4 linked regions of the Daphnia pulex genome follow. The protein of the gene in region 2 purifies or fractionates together with the protein of the main gene of each other region. This does not show direct contact. Links are inferred from orthologs where the notes say so. Each region holds a gene or a part of one and is shown on either strand. Other genes may lie near its edges.

Region 1 (4,461 bases), on a different chromosome or scaffold from region 2:
ACCAAGTCCCAGTACAGCACCGCGAGCCGTACGTAACACCACGCGTCAACGCGCTCGATCAAGGTCCCGCAAGGCCAAAGATCGGGTAAACAGCTCTGTCGTGAGTTATTTTACTTGTATACCCCGATTGAAAATAAGCATCATCCATCTCTTTGATGTTGGCTTCCTCCAACCGAAAATGCATATCTCAACGATGGCCAGCGCTCTTTCGATTAGGTGATTAATGGATCTATTCAGTCAGGAAAGTGACTTGACAACCAGCACCGATAGGCCCAGCACCGACTTGAAACGCAATTTCCGTGTTAGAGACTAAAACCGAAATTAATTATACAATGTATTGTCTGGAAAATTCGGTAAATACCTTTATTAACAGTTAAGCAACCCGTGGCTTTTCAATGCGTAAAAATAATTTTATGATGAGGTTTCATTGAAACAAAAAAATACAAAATCGATTTTTTAAAATTGAAAATCAGAAGAGATTAACGATGCCGGTATTTTCAATGAATTTTATTTCAGTCGTTTGCGGATATTGGAAAAAAATATTGCGCGCCTTTGTTTTGGGCGTTTGGGTAACTGCCCTTGAAAAACCGATGCGTCACGTTTTTGCAAGGCATATTTCAACTGACAAAAAAGCGAAAAAAACAAACAAACAAAAACATTATGAAAATGTGGAATCGATTTTCACATTTCGCGATCCATAAACATAACAAATGTTGGCGTTTTCTCAATCCCAATACGGGGTCCAACCATCCAGACGGACCTTGGCCGAACACGGTGTTGAGGATGCTGCTGGAGTCTTCGTCATGCTCAACCTCAAGCGCTTTAATTGCGTTTTCAAGGTTGAATAATAAATAACATCGGTCCTCTACACTTATTCACGGGTAGGAGAGGAACTTTTTTACTGCCGCATGATGCCCACACCCAGCTGAAGACGATAGATGTTTACCTGCTGCTTGCTGGCGGGCCAGTGTGAGCCGAACAATGTTGATTCACGGTCAAGACGGATATGCTGTTGGCTTCTAAATCCAAACATCACAGATTAGAAATCCGAGTTCAAAGAAAACAGTCGAACATGTACAAATACAAAATCACGAATAATTAGAACAGTCGGGAATTAGGCAATTTACTGTTATTTAGCTTTCGAAATCTAATGATTGCGTCATAGGGTCAGGCGATCAAGAGTCGAATTTTGTTCTGAATAAGAGCGTCTTTCAACCATTTATTGAAATTTCATCACAACCCACTTAATGGACTGCAAATGGACTAGTAACCTAATTAACGGCAGTAATTAGAATAATTCAAATTGAACCAAATCGCGGAAAGCTATTTATTGAATACACAAACTTGGATCTCCAAGCGATGTAAGGGCCAAATTCGAAGATTTGAATGTTAAAAAAAAGATGAGCGTGTACGTGGGACAGTAAAGAATCAAACGATGAGAAATAGGGTATAGGGCGATACACTGGAAATGCATTAATTAGTAGGGGTTTCCAGTTCTGAGGCTGGCGTCTCAGGCTCCTCGTCGTTGTAAATATTTTCAGCCATTTGCCAAACTTGCATGATGTTATCCTCAGAGACGGAGCAGATGACCCAGGGCTCATTCGGGTTCCAGGAGAAATCAGAGATCTTGGCCGTATGACCACCGTGAATGAACTGTTGAGAATTCAATAATTAAACAGCATCCGAATCAAACAATCGCATCAATATTTCAACTTACCAACAATTCTGGAGGGCCATCTTCGGCATCTTCGGTGGATTGTTCTTCTCCAATTTTGGACAAGTCCCAGACATGCAAGCGTCGGTCGGTGCCAGACGAAGCCAAAATAGTCTCATTATGCGGTGACCATTGGACTTGAAAGATTTCATCCTTGTGCGACTCGAACGAATGTAATTTGAGTTTAAGATTTCTCAAATCCCAAAGAGCTACAGTCTAGAAATACAATTTGGAGACATGTTTAGTTGAGTAGAATAAATAGTAGATTTTAATATTAAATGAATACTTTGTCTGCAGATCCGGTAGCTAAAATAAATTCGGAGTAAGGATTGAATGACAGACAGTTCACTTCAGCCGTATGAGCATCCACGGTATGGGAGGGCCGGCTGGTGTTATTGCTGCGAGTATCCCAAATCATAAGCTTCTGATCATCGGCAACGGAACCAAACAAGGACTCGTGAAGCAAGTGCCAAGCGACATCTTCTACAACTGCTGTGTGGCCAGTGAATACGGTTTTGGCGTCGAGAACACGATTCTCTCTCGGCGATGCGTTAATATCCCACAAGCAAATGGTGTGGTCATCAGATGCTGACAGCAAGTGACCATTAAGGTTTGGATTCCAAGACAAACCGTAACCTTCCTTCTGGTGTCCTCTCAGACTAAAAAAAGATAATGTAGTTGTGAGTAACAAGTTTAGGTCATAAGAAATCATTTGAATAAAAAATGACTCACCGTAAATCAGGGTGGCACTCTCCACTAGGATCAGGGCGAGAAGGATGTTTTGTGTAGTCAAAGACCAAGACGTCAGATGAAGGTGTTTTAGTGGCAATCACACAAGGATTCTGGGGCATGTAGCGAGCCCTGTTGACTTCTCCTTCATGGTTGATCTTGATCTCAATTTCAATCTTACCACTCACTGATCCAAAGCCTCCAAACTCTGATAGAGATGAAGCATTAAAACAATAGTGCAACAGATTTGATCAAGTTAAATGACTACCTCCTTTATCATTGTCATAATGTGAAGCATCAAACTGAGCATCCTCATTAGGAAGCTGGACAGATGCAATCAAGAGGTGATTTTGTTCATCGCTAGTGTGAGTACCAAGGATGAGACGATGCACTGAGTAGTCTTTGCCTTCAGGCCTAACGGAGAAAAGAAACATTCAACAGTTAGAAAGAAACAATAAAACACCTTTGTTCTCAGTAATTTACCTTGTAACATCAGGAAGCCATTGAGCTGTAAGTGAAGGCCATTCCAGAGCATGTGTCATAACCAAATCATACAAAAATGGAGTATTTTTCTTCCAAATTTTGTATTCCTCGTTGATGACGCGTTCTTCCACTGCTTCATCAAAGGGCTCTAAAAAAGATTGGATTAAATTTCACTGTCATCCAATAACAAAGAATGATTTCAACAGATACCTCCATCTTTATCTGCCATCGTTAGTCAATCAAGTCCTTTACTAATGATGAACCGGCTGGAACCTGTCAAGCAATAGATTCGGTTAGCAGAGACTTTTGAGCGTGCTGCTTTGTTAAATGGCGGCAAAAACGAAAGCAATTCCAGTGGTGCCACTTTGGAAAAAGTCGAAACTACTTCAATAGTTTATTTTGCCGTTCATAGATGGCATGGTCATGTCTTTAAAGAAAAAAATCTTGAAAATAATAAAATTGTTGTCAAATTAAAAGAATTTGCCTACTTCAAAAGTCTGATTTAAAAATTAAATTTAATTAGTAATAATTAAAAACAATATTTAGGTAGGCCATGGGTGTTGAGAGATTTGTATGCCTGTGGGTAGGTCTAGGAAAAAATCTTCATGTAAGGCAGTGTAAGGCATAAAAACAGTTATATTGTTATAGGAATACAGTTATTTTTTCTAGAAAAAAATATTTGCTTTCAAAAATATATCAATGCTTAATTCCACAAAATTTTAATGGTTTTCCGATGCCCAATATGATTTTAACTTTTTCTCAAGCTTTTTCTGTTGCGCATAATTAATTTCATAGTGGTTTAGCGCTAGATGCCAAAACAATGGAAGGAAATTTGAAGGTGCTTCACCTTTGTTGTCAAGGTTAAAGTGATCTACCTGTTACAATGTAAAGGCGATTGGCGCTCTAGGAAATGGTTCACAGTAAATCATGAAGAAAGCCTCCTCCGGCCATCCGTTAAACAATGTAATATTTTCCGTCATCAGACAATCAAACCGATATTTGAACTAGAAGATAGCAAGACGAGTAAACCACTTCAAAATTCTCTTTCATTGCACAGTGTATTTTTTGCCATAAATTTAATTGAGTTCAGTATAGAAGTTGTACAGCGTTAATAGGATTATTTTTTACTGCGTCTAAGAAAAATTAATGATTTGAAAACACCGTCATTTCTTTCCATTCCTTCATAACGTATTTATTGGATTAAAATTTTCTGCTATCACAACATTCACTAAAGGCTAATAACGTAGTGCTTCAACCAAATGAAATATATATATATATATATTTCGCCGAGCATTACGTGTAGTATGAGGAGTATGAGGAATATGAGGAGTAATAATGGATGGAAATGCCGGTTGAGATATTATCATAACAATGGTCCAAAATTGAAGTCAACTTCTGTTCTCATTTCAAAAGAGATATTCCACAATTTAAGTTAGCTGTTGGCCTTCCGTTCATTTGAACAATAATTCATTGTAGATTCGATCGGACCCAATATATTCATCATCATCATTCATCCAGCATGGTACGATATAAGC
Region 2 (4,773 bases):
ATCAAAGAAGTGATTCAGATGGAACGGATGCAACAAATATTAGGGCCTTACCTTGGGAGCTTTGGGTTCTGTAACTCGAAGAGCTTCCCTAAAATATGCATCTACGGCATAGTTGGCCTTGCGCTCACGTTTAGGCGGTTCAATCCAGGCACCAACAATCGACTTTTGTTTCTCTCTATGTAACAAAAAAGTTTCAATGTAAGCATGTTCCATGATTACAAAGCTAGATGTGGTATTACCGATAGTCTTCGCCTTCGAACTGGTAGACGGACTCTGTTGGGGCGTCCAAAGTGAAATTACGGAGCGATGATTCTCCGAGTTTCTCGAGACGTTCAGCAACTTCTTGTGTCTGAAAAATAACAATACAAGATGCAAATTACTCAAAAAAATCGATCCATCTTTATATAAGGCAAACTTACTCTGTTTTCGCTTTTGGCTAAAATAGATTCAATGTCTTCGTCTGTGATGTCGGAGTCTTTGGAGGCAAAAACGTGATCTGCTCCGTGTCTGATCATGTTGAGCATTTCATCTTTGTTGAGGGCGCTGTTTGTTTTGTCAAGTAATCGTCCTTGTTGAATAACCAATTTGTCGAGACGCAATTTCACTTCGGCCTTCTCAACAATTTTTTCTTCCACTGTATTGTCTGTGATGAACCGGAACACCCTAACCTGCTTCAGCTGACCGATACGATGGGCTCGATCCTACATTAGTTGAAAACAGTAAATTAACCTGAAAAGTAACCTCAATGTGTTATCAGATAATACCATAGCCTGAAGATCCATTTGAGGATTCCAATCTGAGTCAAAAAGGACGACAACGTCAGCGGTGGCCAAGTTAATACCCAAACCTCCAGCACGAGTAGAAAGCATAAATAAAAACTTCTTGCTATCTGGCGCATTATACTCTTCAATTTGACGATGTCGATCCTCGTGAGGAGTGCTGCCATCGAGACGACAGTACTGAAAGAATTCAAATAACGTTTAGTTGGGTTTAAAAAAAAAATTAGCTCAATTCATCTTACATTGTAACCTCTCCAGAGGGAATAATCCTCTAAGATGTCCAACATACGGGTCATTTGGCTAAAAATAAGCACACGAGATCCTTGGGCTTTCAGTTTAGGCAACAGTTTGTCCAAGATAACCATCTTGCCACAATTGTAAACCTAGGAAAAATAAAATCGTTTTGTAAGTACAACATTTAAACAAGACTAGAAATGAAAAACTCACAATGTGCTCGTCGGTAGTGTAGGGTGGCCCAGGTTCAGCTCCGTCAAACAGGTAAGGATGGTTACAACATTTACGAAGCTGCATAAGAATATTTTGAAGACGCATCTTTTCCAACTTTCCGGCACCATTCACAATATCAATATCTCTCATCAAAATCTTGGTGTACATCTCACGCTGCATCTTGCTAAGACCGATATAGACCTTAACTTCCTTCTTAGGTTTCAGTCGTTTTTCTACTTCGGCCTTAAGACGACGAAGAAGGAAAGGTCGTAGAACGGCATGCAGACGATGGATCAGAGAATCGTCTCCAAGACAGTTGTTGGCGTTAAACCATTCATCGAAATCCTAAATGATTGACAGTTTAGAAGCTGCAACGAGTTTTCGATATAATAGAGAACATTACCTCTGAATTGTTGAAGATGTCTGGCAAAAGAAAGTTAAGTAGAGCCCAGAGTTCGTGCAAGTTGTTCTGGAGAGGTGTTCCGGTGATCAGTAGACGGTTAGATGTTTTGAACTCGCGGACAATTTCTGAAAGTTTGGATTTTTCGTTTTTGATACGATGTGCTTCGTCGATAACCATGTATCGCCAGTTGAACTTCTTGAATACAGCTCGTTCTTTCATGACAATTTCATAGGAGGTAACGCAGGCATCCCATTCACCTGGCATGATTTCATCGCGAACGATATTGGCCTACGAAAATGTGATGATTTTAGCAATGCAACAAAGTACTAAATTTTCATTTATAAAACACAAAAAACATACCCTTGTTTCTTGATCTCCAGTGAGGCACACGGCACGAAGGGTGGGGCACCACTTTTTGAATTCATTCATCCAATTGGCAAGTGTTGATTTTGGTACAATAACCATGTGAGGTCCATTAATGTTGCGGTAGTGCTTCATGTATCCCAACAAAGAGATTGTCTGAAGGGTTTTTCCCAGACCCATCTCATCAGCCAGAATACCATTGATGCCGTTTTCATACAAAGAAATCATCCAATTGAGACCACGAACTTGATAGTCCCTCATCTCACCACCTTTGATGTAAAATGGTGATGTATCAAAACGTGTAACAAGGGCAGCTTTCTCAGCAGCCTTGACTTCTTCCATCAATTCCTCATCTTCTTCTTCTTCAGTCTTTCTATGTCTGTTATCTCCCGCTTCTGCTATTTTCTTTTCTTTGCGGGGTCTTCCTGGTTTCAGTTTCAAGGGGCTTGATGGAGCTTTGGTTCCTGGAGCTGCCATGAAATGACCGAAAAGCTCAGTTTGTTTCAAGAGATAGTCAAACCTCTTGCTACGGTCCACTTCCTACACAAACAATTTTTGTCAACAAACAATTCCCAAAACTGTTACAGAAAAACACTTACCGTTTTCTTGTCAAAGTCATCTTTGCCTTTAGAAAGGGATGATCGGGATGAAGACTCTGTTTGCTATTAAATTCAACATAAGGAAATTAATGAATGTCGAATAGTTTTTAATTGAAACAAAACAATCGTGATGGGACTTACAGAATTTTCGCCAGTATCAGCTGGAGTTTCCATAGGGCTACCTTCCTCCTCTGATTTCGACATGTCGATAGAGAGGGTAACCACGCTTCAAAAAGTCCAACTTTTAAACGCCAAGTATCAAGAAATAGACGATTGCTCTCGTTAAATAAGTTGAGAGATCTCACAATCTCACTCAGTTCATGCAACAACACAACAACGCCGTTACGCCGGTTTAACAACGGACACAAAGGAGGACTGGACTGGAGGAGTCCAGAGCGCGAACGGCGTTGCCAAGTCGTCGAAATTGAATATATACTGCACGCGTGAAAAGCAATTGCCCTTAGAGCACTTAGAGCTTTTTTTCGTTCTTTCAAAAATGAATCATCGTAAAATAATAATTCTAAATTAACAAAATAACCTAATAAAATTTAACAAATTTATTGTATCGTGAACTTGCCTTCGGTCTTCATTGGCCATCACAATTTTATTTTACTCAATTACTTTATAGATCCGTAAAGCAACACTTGAATGACGCGGAATCAACGACAAAATTATTCTATTCGGCCTTCATGACGTAAGTCAGTCGTCTAATATTCGTTGAAATTTAGATCATGGATTGATTTGATTAAAATGTTGTACATTTACCAGTTCGGTACAGTGTTCCTACTGGTTAAAAAATTTCCTGATTTTAAGTAATGTTGCATAGAATTTAATTTCACCCAAAGTGTTGGGAAAATACAGACAATAAACCAAGACCTCCAACGCAGTCGATCGGAGAGACTAATCCTCTTTTCGCGCAGGGGGGTTGCGTGGATACACAGCAGAGCTCCTCTTCGTTTTTACTGCCGTCTGAAAGTGAAACAAGATCCTCTGCTCCAACTCGTAGTCATAAAATATCACACACACACATAGAAACAGTGTAGTACTGGGAAAAATAAGTCAATTAAATTTCAAACCAAACAAAATCATCAGAACCAATTGTGGTCCTACCAACAACATGTTTATGCGAAACAATTTTTTAACAATTAGTAAGTAGTCAATTATTATTATATGGCGAATTTCACTGTCCATCCCCACTGGCTCTCGACTTTATTCATTTCAGGAAATTGGATTGATAGGACGCCTTTAAAAATACTCCACTAGAAAAACAAATGGCTTAGTTATTCTTCATTACAGATTTGCTATAGAAATGTCGAAATACTTTTAATGGATCTTTGTATCCCAGCAAAGTGACGACAGATCCATCAGTCAATGGAACTGGAGCTCCGATCATTAGGGTGTTGTTTTCCGGCCATCGTAGAGTTATTCCGTACACGTACTTCCATATGAAAATTCTCTTACTGGTGTACCTATGATATGATCTCGCGATGGTTTCAAGAATCCCTGGAGAAGAATCACATCATCGGTAAAATGACTTACCAAACATTGCTGGTTAGAGTATCGTTTTGGAGTGTCCACGGAAGAGTTCCGAAAATAGCCTCGCCGTTGACTTGCAACCACGACCCGACGTCGCGCAGACGCTCTTCGAATATTGGACGAATCACGCCGTCCGCCGTGGGCCCGATATTCATCAATAAATTTCCTGCTCTCAGCAAGCACGTTTGTAAAAATACGAGCCAATCAAATCTAGAAGGAATGGTCGCGGCTCGTAAAGCCGTCATCTCCCCCCCGGAATATTTACCTCCGCAACTGACGGTGGTCACAAGCGTCTCGATCAACTCCCGAGTCGTTAGAAAGTCGGAAAGGCGGGCGTTACGTCGGAAGGCCCAGGCTTCTTTGTCGATGGTCATGGCGTTCTCCCATTTACGCGTCTGCAAAACACCTTTTATTTTCCCCACCGCCGCCAAGTGCGTCATCTATTAACTTACAAATCGTTTTGGCAAGCTTAGCTGTCCTTTTACCTGGATTGTATCTGTCTTGACAATTCACGAAATCGCCGTGTTTACAGCCAACGCCACGTCCCCACCGATCATTCACGACCACCGTATGACGGACTGGACTGTCGTTGTAAAGCCAGGCCAGGAAGTTGAGCGTGTCCCAGTATTTGTCGTTGGCTTCCCAG
Region 3 (4,804 bases), on a different chromosome or scaffold from region 2:
ACAGCCAACCCCATTGACCGTGAAGACGAAACTCTTCACCTTTGTGCTTCCAGATCTGTCGAAAACAATGTGAAACCAATTAGATATGGATTCAAATAGAAATAAAAATAGTTTCTATTACCTGGTGCTTGAGGCCTTTGGTGTAATGGACGGTGTGTAGTCGATGCATCTCTTCTTCCAGTTCTTTATCCTTCTTCTCCTTCTTGTCCACCTTCTTCCGCTCTTCACGTTCAAGGGCCGTCTGTCGTTGAAGTCGAATGTGGCCAAGTGACTCGTGCCAGACGGAAGAGAAAACAACTGGGCGGATGCACGCAACCAGGATTGAGAGGACACGACCGAGGTCTGTTGGCGAGACGCTTTGATTGACAGCTTGGATCCAAGACTTTCGCATACTCCCAGCCCAGTTAGGATGCATGAAAATAGCAGGCAATTGAGAGTGCAGTTGGAGCAAGGTGGAACGAACAGTTTGCTGCATGATAGTGCGGTTGCCAAATGTACTGCCCAACCACTTAAACTCGCCGCAACCCGTAATGGAGAACTTGTGCGACAAGTAACGCTTGCGGTCTCTCTCCTCTGCTGCCTGGTTTTTGTTGAGCGCGAGGGGATTGCTCGTGTACTGGTTGACGTACGTCTTGTGCCGTCCTTCCATGCCCAATTTAAAGATGACGTCGGAGGGTAAAGGAGATTGAGATTTTGATTTGGTAGGGGTGCCACTTCTTTCCTCCTTAATAGTGACTCCGCCAGAACCGTTGGTTGTTAAATTTCGCCGTTTCATGTCGACATAGGTGCGTGCCACAATGGTGCCGGTTTTGGAGCGCGTAGAGTAAGTTCCGTTGGCTGTTGGTGTACCGGTAGTAGGCGTTTCTTCAGGCTCTACTTTAGGTTCAGATTCCACATGCAATTGTTGCATGAAATCGTCATCCACTTCCACACCGCATTCTTCCACAACCTCCTCAGTTTCTATTTTTTCCTTCTCTGTTTTGATTGCATCGACAGAGAGGTTCTCATCAGCCTCGTCATCTTCTTCTTTTTCAACTTTGACGACCGTCTGAGAGGCCTCCCTTGCAACTTCTTCGTCAAGTTCGAGATATGATTTGTTGTTGCCTAAAATGTATAACAAATGATTAGCGTCTTTTATGAATAAAATTAGGTAGATTAAAATATTATTCACCTTTATTCTCGTTTGTCAGCTGTATCGTGAGAGCCATCTGCCTCAATATTTCCGGCCTTAGATTGTATAGTTCTTGACAAAGAGCCTTTTCAAAATCTGTCTTGTCCAAAGCTGCAAGCAACTGTTCAAACTGATGGGGACTGGAGTAGTACCAAGTTTTACGGTCCTCCACGGCAATAGTTTCTTCATCTCCGTCAATTTCTTCCCGGCTGCCAGTTTCTTCGACAAAGATCCGTCTGGCAATAAACCAGTATTTGCGTCCGTGTCGGTCGTAGCCCAAAGATTCCTAAAAGAGAATACATGAATTAAAAAGGAATTCATCCGCCAGCATTGGGTTTCAGGATAATTACTTGTCGGCAGAGAAAACCGGATCGTTCAACATCACTTATACAATCAGTTACTCCTTTGCATAGTTGGGCCGTGCATATAGGACACTGCCAATCCTCGTTTGGAACGTGCTCCAGTGGTGGGTCGAGACAGTGGAGGTGATAGACGGCTGGACATGTCTCACAGCAGAGCAAATCTCCAACTTTGTGGCAAACTCGACAATGGTCATTATATTTGATGTTTCCTATAGATGAAAGATGAATTAGTATGTTTAAAACCATAAAAATGATTTAAAAAATGTTACCCTCGCTAAGGAACTCTTGTCGGACAGCCGTATTGCAGAGAAAATGGTCAGTAAGAAACTTGAGGAGGTTCAGACGGACGTCGCAGGTAGTAAAAGGATATTCGCAGGATTCAAGTAAAGAGAGTGCAGGTGCAAAGGTCGGGTCACTCTGCATGTATATCCGCATGACTTCTGGCCACGTCAGCGTGTCGGCAAAGTTTAACACAGAATTTGTGCTGTCTTTCTGGTCCAGTGGTCCAAACCAAGTTTGTTGTACGTCTTCCTCTCGAAGCATGGACTTTAAGAGTTGAACATGGACTTCCGCCAAAAGAGTTGTCATTTCTTCCGATTGAAGAGCGGCCATGAAATCCTCGAGTCGAAAAGGAGAGAGCCTCACCTACGCAGAGAGATTGATTAGCCAGGGAAAATTATTCATAATAAAAACCAAACCAACCTCACTGCTAAACTTGCGTAGGACTTCGTAAATCGCGCAAGCAGGTAGCACTTGGTGTGTAGGCAAGAGAAGGTCTTCAGAAGATTTGGGTAGAGTCAACACTGGTAAATCTTGATCGGACTGGAGCCAAATAGGGAGTGGAGTGGGTATAGACTTTATACTGGATTCAACAATTTTTCGCATTGAGGAACTTTGATTAGAAATGGAGATATCTGAGGCATTATCATCCAGTTCATCACTCTCTGGCTCGCTAATTGGTATGTCCACGTCACTCTCAACATCCAACTCTGCATCTTCTCCTTGGCTCGGAGGCCCATCAGAATCACTACCAGAGTCAAAGTCTGAGCCATAATGATAATCATTACCCCTGGTAATGACCAACGAAGGCCTAGGCACATATGCTTTGCCACCTCTGTTGCCTCTTGTACCCGCTTTCCTTCCACGTTTCTTGAATGGAGTTACTGATATATGTTTTTTGGCACTGTATTGTTGTGTGAAACTCCCCACACTGCCTCCCGGTGAACTAGCTCTAGACCCAGTTGGACCATTGTCATTAGCCACTCCATCACGAGACAAAAACCATTTAGGCTTCTCGATAACGTTCGATCGGGAATTTAGGAAGTGTGGTGTTGTATAAGATGATTTAGGCGGCCTCCCGCGTCTCCTACCGCCTCTCGACGACATTATCGACTGTGGGATACACTTTTAACAAAGGATTAATGACCAGCTGAAACACTGGAGTAGGCCGGCAGTAGTATGCTTGTTTATAAACAAGGTTGACAGGGCGCCAAAACTTCCCACGGTGTCCACTACCACCTAGTAGTAGTGTTGTACGCGGAAGGCTTAACGGCCATCTTGATCACGTGACTTTTCAGATATTGCCTGCTGAATATTCACGAAAATAGTTTTCACACTCACAACGACAGTTAATATTGTGCCAAACACTCTAAAACAAAACGTTGAACAATTGAACGGTTGAAATACGTTGACTTGAAAGTGTTTTAGGCCCCGGTGACGCCACAAAAAAATTTCAGAGTTTTTTGCTCTGAGATGCTACGAGAGAGAAATAGGCGGGAGGGAATGAAAGGGGGCCTTAAGCCATAACTAACTCTAGCGGGATTGGTCGAAAACTGAAACCAATCACTAAAAGTCTTTCATAGCAACCAAAATTCAAATTTTTGTTTTTCAAAAGTGAATTTTGTCAATCAATGTCGATTTTAACTAATTTTTTGTCTGTTTTGTATGTTTCAAGAGGTTAAAGAAGAGTTTTTTAAGAATTAATTAGAACTGAGAAAGTGAGAATGATTCGACGATAACTTTGGAAATCGATTGCTTATCGATGATCTTTAGAGAATATTCAAACTTTCCATAAAAATGATGTTGCACTCTCAAAAATTCTTATTAGATGTAACATTTTTTCTTGTATTTTGTTATGCTAATTTAGTATCACCACGCTTAGTAAGAGTTTGTTAGTAGTTTGTCTAATCACGGCCAGGCGTCGCTGTTCAAATAGCAGACGACTTTGGTTATCTAAAAAAAATTATAAAAATCATGGCCTACTATAGTCACGGCCCATCATCGTACGCTTCTGTGTGGGACCAATTTTAGGTTCCCTGCCCCTTCCCTGTTGCCATAGTACATAGCCAGAGGGTCGTAAGTATCGGTTTTTGTTCCACATTTCCGCAGATTCTTTCCACCCTTTGGGATTTTTTGGCTTAAGTCGCCATGCCTGTGTGTCTGGCTTGCATCCAGGCATGGTCAGAGTCGATTAAATGCAATTGAAGGACAGTCTAGTGGGTATAGCGGAGGATTCCCACATTAGAGGTGTTAGGTTCAAATCTATGCAAGTCATAATCAATTTTTCATAATTTTTCCTTGTTTTTTCTATATTTTTAAAGCGAATTAGATGGAATGCCTAGATTGTGTAAAAAATGCGAGTTTTTTCACATTTTTTAAAACAAAATCTGAATTTGTTTTCTTTGGCAAGGACTTAGAAAAAAAAGCAAATTCAGATTTTGTTGAAAATAATGTGAAAAAACTCGCATTTTTTCACAATCTAGGCATTCCATCTAATTCGCTTTAAAAATAAAGAAAAAACAAGGAAAAATTATGAAAAATTGATTATGACTTGCATAGATTTGATCCTAATACCACTCTAGTGGGAATCTACCGCTTTAACCACTAGACTGTCAATCGCATACTTTTAGTCGACTCTGACCATAGCACTATGCAAGCCAGACACAGAATCTGCGGAAATGTGGAACAAAAACCGATACTTACGACCCTCTGGCTATGTACTATGGCAACAGGGAAGGGGCAGGGAACCCAAAATTGGTCCCACACAGAAGCGTACGATGATGGGCCGTGACTATAGTAGGCCATGATAAAAATAGACCACATTTCTAAGGCTCGAAGCTATTCAATCGCAGTCTTCTCATTTCCTCCTTTAAATTTTAAATAGAATATACGTAGGTAGGATGTACAAGCTGCAACCTTTATTTAAGTCGGTAGTGGAGACTCCGCATCCGAGTTGTGTCTATAAAATGAAAAAAATCAGTGACCATTTTAA
Region 4 (3,331 bases), on a different chromosome or scaffold from region 2:
TCTTCTTCCCGTTCAAAAATATCACCTAATTAATAGACAAAATTGAAATAAAATGTCATTATTGATAACATATAGCTAGCAAGAAATTTTACCTGCAATGACTACTGTACCCATATCTTCAGTTTTAATAACAACACTGATATCATCTGCTGTGTGTCCAGGTGTAGGTATTACTGTAATACCCTCATCAATTTCAAATGGAAGACCTACAGCACATCATACATTTTGTATGTAAAAAAAATTAATGTTTGTTTGAAGCTAAAGTAATAAAGTACACAATTAAAGGAAACCACAGAATTTACCTTTATCAAAAGGATGTAAAAAATATTTGTCTTTAACAGAAATGCAATAGCCAACTATATGTTTAGCTTTCAGAAACAAATTGTTGTTGCCAGTGTGATCCGAATGACCATGAGTAGATATGACATAGTTGATGTCATCAGGGGTTAACCCATTCGCCTCTAAAGATAGTAAAATGAGATTGGTATCCCAAGGTGTCATTGTATCAACAATTACTGAAAAAATAATTTATTAACTGTTATCACGTTATTGCGAACATATTTGGATTGTGCTGTTTGTTACTATTTTTACTGCCGGTAACCAATACGCATGAGCAATTTGCACGGACGAAAGGAAGATTTTCGTCTTTTTCCTCAATTGTGGTAGAAGAATATCCAGTATGTATTACTGTAACACGGTTGGAGTTCGCCATCCTTTTAGAAATTAGAGTAGCCCTTCTAGTGTCAAAATGTCAAAAATCAAAATCAAATGTTTTGTTTTTTTAGACTGCTTTTTTCGCCATCTATGGGTGACACGCTGAACTTTGCCATTTTGCTTATTGCAGCAGCTGTGGTTTGAAAATAACGTACGCTAAATTGAGGGAGAAAAAAATACGGACACACCCGTTTAGGCTAACAAATGGTCACATAAAACCGCAATTAATTAATTACAACAGTACATTAACTGCAGTCTATTGAACCACCAAACTATCTTAGTTGATGTGAATCGTAAAGGAACAATGGGTTCAATCAATGTATTTGAAATTGAACTTTCCTTAGTGGAACACTTATAAATATGAGCAAGTAATGTTGAAGACAGAAATGAATTTGAATAAACACTCAAAACAAGTCACCATTTCCTTTTTCCTTCAGAATTTCTTGATATTCCTTGTATGTTATTTTCTTAGGAACCATATCTGAAAACACAATAATAATAATAAATTAAAATTTTACTAATACCATTTAGTAACACAGTACCTTTGAGAAACTGCATAGAATCACTTTTTTGAACAATGTCAGCTAGACCTTTGTAAGTAAGCTCATTTGACTTTTTGGTACTTTCATAAATCTCTTGGGCTAAATGTTCTACAAAAAACTCCTTAAAACATTGAAACATTTTAGATGAAGATGAGAAAAATAAGATGAAAAAATTATCTGGAAACAAACTAAAAATACCGTTGCTTTTGTTACAAAGTATAATGCGTCAGTGGATATGCTCTCAGTATCTGGGGAACTCTTCATAATCATTTTTACTCGTGCTTGTGGTAATATTATGGAGCCGTCTCCTAATTTCGGTTTAAAGGAAGACATTCTTAATTTAATTTCACTTGATTTAGTCCTTCACTTCAATCAATTCAGCAATTCCGCGCCACTACAATTTCTAACAAAATGCCAAAATAGAAATGTTCAAAATATAGTCTGCTGACTTTTACAGCACTGCCAAGATGTGATCAATGAAAATTGAAAATGCAAGGAGCATATTTTGTCATTAATTTGTTCATAATAAATTGATACCAATTGTATTAATAACTATTTCTAAATTCAGTTGCTAGACTACGATTAGTCCAAAATTCAAATACATTCATCTCCAATTATTCTTTATGTGTGCCGTAACAGCAAATTATAGAAATGCAACGTTGTAGCAAAGCCATCACACTGATATATCTGTCTGAACCATGGTCTGAAAATCGGAACTCTTGATAAGAATTTAGAAGTATTTGATTACTTGTGTACTTGTGTTGTGTAAACATTGATGTGTGGTAACAAATTTATACTTCTGCGTGGAAATTGATTTTAGAGCTAGTTATGGCTTGTTTATCAATGGAAAATCGTCCTCTTAAAAAATTGAGATTAGGACCGCCCGATGTTTACCCACAGGATCCCAAACAAAAAGAGGTAATATTTTGAATGTAGCTGCAGCTTTTTTATGAGCCCAAGTACGAAAATGCTAGTTGCCAAAAGGCAGTTTCATTTAAAAAAAAGGATAATTCTTTATGTTTTCCTTTCATTAACATTTGGAATACTATTTTTAGGATGAACTGACTCCTGTCAATGTGAAACAAGGATTTTCTCATACACCCAATCTTAATCAGTCTGAAGAGTATGGATCTGCTAAAAATCACAACTTTTCTTTATCAAAGGTAAACTACAATTTACTGTAATTAGTATGATGTTCATAGATTGTTCTAGGCTGACAACCATTTTATTATTCTTTCCTAATGTTAGGTCCAAACTTTTATTAATGGAGTGCTTACAAAAAAACAAGAAATCAACACATTGCCTGATACTGGCCGAAAACGCCAACTCATCAATCCCAAAGAAAATTTCCATAATGTTACTCCAAAGTCCAAGGCATTCATTGAGTCTTGGTTCAAAGACTTAGCAGGCAGCAAACCTTTGATGAATCTAGGAAAAAGAGTAATATTATACTCAGAATATCTTAAACAAATAAAAATACCAACTTTTGATTCCTTTTACAAGGTGCCAATATTCAACAAGAAGGAAGAAATATTTATCCAACTAAGTGAATATCAGGTTCCTATGTCTAGAGCAATATGGTTAATCAAGATGACATCTGCGTATTCAGTGGCTATTTCTGAAGCCAAAATGAAAAAGCGTCAAGTTCCAGATTCCTCTCAAGGTAGTTTCCAAGATTTAAATAATTTATTTTATCTGCAATTATAATCATTTTTTTGTTATATAGAGTGGACTAGTACATTGGTCCGGTTCATAAAGGAACAAATTGTGAAACTACAAGATTTCTATCAAAAATCCACAAATAGTGGAGGAACTTCTGCTGCATATGCTTCAAATGCTACTGCATATCATAATGGTAGCCCTTTGATGAGTGATGAACAGAAGCTTGCTCTTCGCCAATTTAATTATTGCCAGCAATTATGCAAAGTGATGTTTGAGGTATTGTGGAGATAAAATTTTATTTTTTCGTTTTTGCAATTTCATTTGTCTTTCAGGAGGGACTTCTTGAATGCCAAGATTTCTTACAATGGCAGTTGGACATGCTTGAAAAATGTAAAACTTGTGATGATGGTCTT

The links.
Region 1: the proteins of chromatin-remodeling complex ATPase chain Iswi-like (region 2) and chromatin assembly factor 1 p55 subunit purify together in Drosophila melanogaster (affinity purification with western blotting; 5 studies listed by BioGRID, with this or other methods). This does not show direct contact. The link is inferred for Daphnia pulex from reciprocal best matches to the Drosophila melanogaster genes Iswi and Caf1-55.
Region 3: the proteins of chromatin-remodeling complex ATPase chain Iswi-like (region 2) and nucleosome-remodeling factor subunit NURF301-like purify together in Drosophila melanogaster (affinity purification with western blotting; 7 studies listed by BioGRID, with this or other methods). This does not show direct contact. The link is inferred for Daphnia pulex from reciprocal best matches to the Drosophila melanogaster genes Iswi and E(bx).
Region 4: the proteins of chromatin-remodeling complex ATPase chain Iswi-like (region 2) and chromatin accessibility complex protein 1-like fractionate together in Drosophila melanogaster (co-fractionation; 4 studies listed by BioGRID, with this or other methods). This does not show direct contact. The link is inferred for Daphnia pulex from reciprocal best matches to the Drosophila melanogaster genes Iswi and Chrac-16.

What each region holds. Positions count from the first base shown.
Region 1 is NC_060023.1:6,455,369-6,459,829, forward strand, and holds chromatin assembly factor 1 p55 subunit, read right to left. Parts: upstream 3,294-4,461; 5' UTR 3,156-3,293; coding exon 3,137-3,155; intron 3,075-3,136; coding exon 2,927-3,074; intron 2,858-2,926; coding exon 2,712-2,857; intron 2,652-2,711; coding exon 2,447-2,651; intron 2,374-2,446; coding exon 2,001-2,373; intron 1,931-2,000; coding exon 1,718-1,930; intron 1,654-1,717; coding exon 1,474-1,653; 3' UTR 1,314-1,473; downstream 1-1,313. UniProt on the Drosophila melanogaster protein: Core histone-binding subunit that may target chromatin assembly factors, chromatin remodeling factors and histone deacetylases to their histone substrates in a manner that is regulated by nucleosomal DNA.
Region 2 is NC_060024.1:13,559,252-13,564,024, reverse strand, and holds the start of chromatin-remodeling complex ATPase chain Iswi-like, read right to left. Parts: upstream 3,004-4,773; 5' UTR 2,796-3,003; coding exon 2,733-2,795; intron 2,655-2,732; coding exon 2,592-2,654; intron 2,533-2,591; coding exon 1,990-2,532; intron 1,918-1,989; coding exon 1,630-1,917; intron 1,572-1,629; coding exon 1,227-1,571; intron 1,163-1,226; coding exon 1,022-1,162; intron 960-1,021; coding exon 765-959; intron 702-764; coding exon 420-701; intron 350-419; coding exon 240-349; intron 176-239; coding exon 52-175; intron 1-51. Other genes in the region: alpha-L-fucosidase-like, read right to left, coding at 3,758-3,850, 3,913-4,060, 4,131-4,293, 4,393-4,533, 4,613-4,773.
Region 3 is NC_060023.1:9,234,975-9,239,778, reverse strand, and holds the start of nucleosome-remodeling factor subunit NURF301-like, read right to left. Parts: upstream 3,349-4,804; 5' UTR 2,920-3,348; coding exon 2,236-2,919; intron 2,179-2,235; coding exon 1,803-2,178; intron 1,743-1,802; coding exon 1,522-1,742; intron 1,458-1,521; coding exon 1,172-1,457; intron 1,105-1,171; coding exon 122-1,104; intron 56-121; coding exon 1-55. Other genes in the region: probable aminoacyl tRNA synthase complex-interacting multifunctional protein 2, read left to right, coding at 4,713-4,804. UniProt on the Drosophila melanogaster protein: Histone-binding component of NURF (nucleosome remodeling factor), a complex which catalyzes ATP-dependent nucleosome sliding and facilitates transcription of chromatin.
Region 4 is NC_060025.1:6,927,958-6,931,288, reverse strand, and holds chromatin accessibility complex protein 1-like, read right to left. Parts: upstream 1,706-3,331; 5' UTR 1,590-1,705; coding exon 1,455-1,589; intron 1,378-1,454; coding exon 1,257-1,377; intron 1,196-1,256; coding exon 1,119-1,195; 3' UTR 1,020-1,118; downstream 1-1,019. Other genes in the region: metallo-beta-lactamase domain-containing protein 1-like, read right to left, coding at 1-25, 93-206, 303-515, 583-712; mediator of RNA polymerase II transcription subunit 12-like, read left to right, coding at 2,085-2,174, 2,312-2,419, 2,505-2,696, 2,760-2,919, 2,983-3,194, 3,251-3,331. UniProt on the Drosophila melanogaster protein: Histone-like protein which promotes nucleosome sliding of ATP-dependent nucleosome remodeling complexes. Part of the chromatin-accessibility complex (CHRAC) which uses energy/ATP to increase the general accessibility of DNA in chromatin.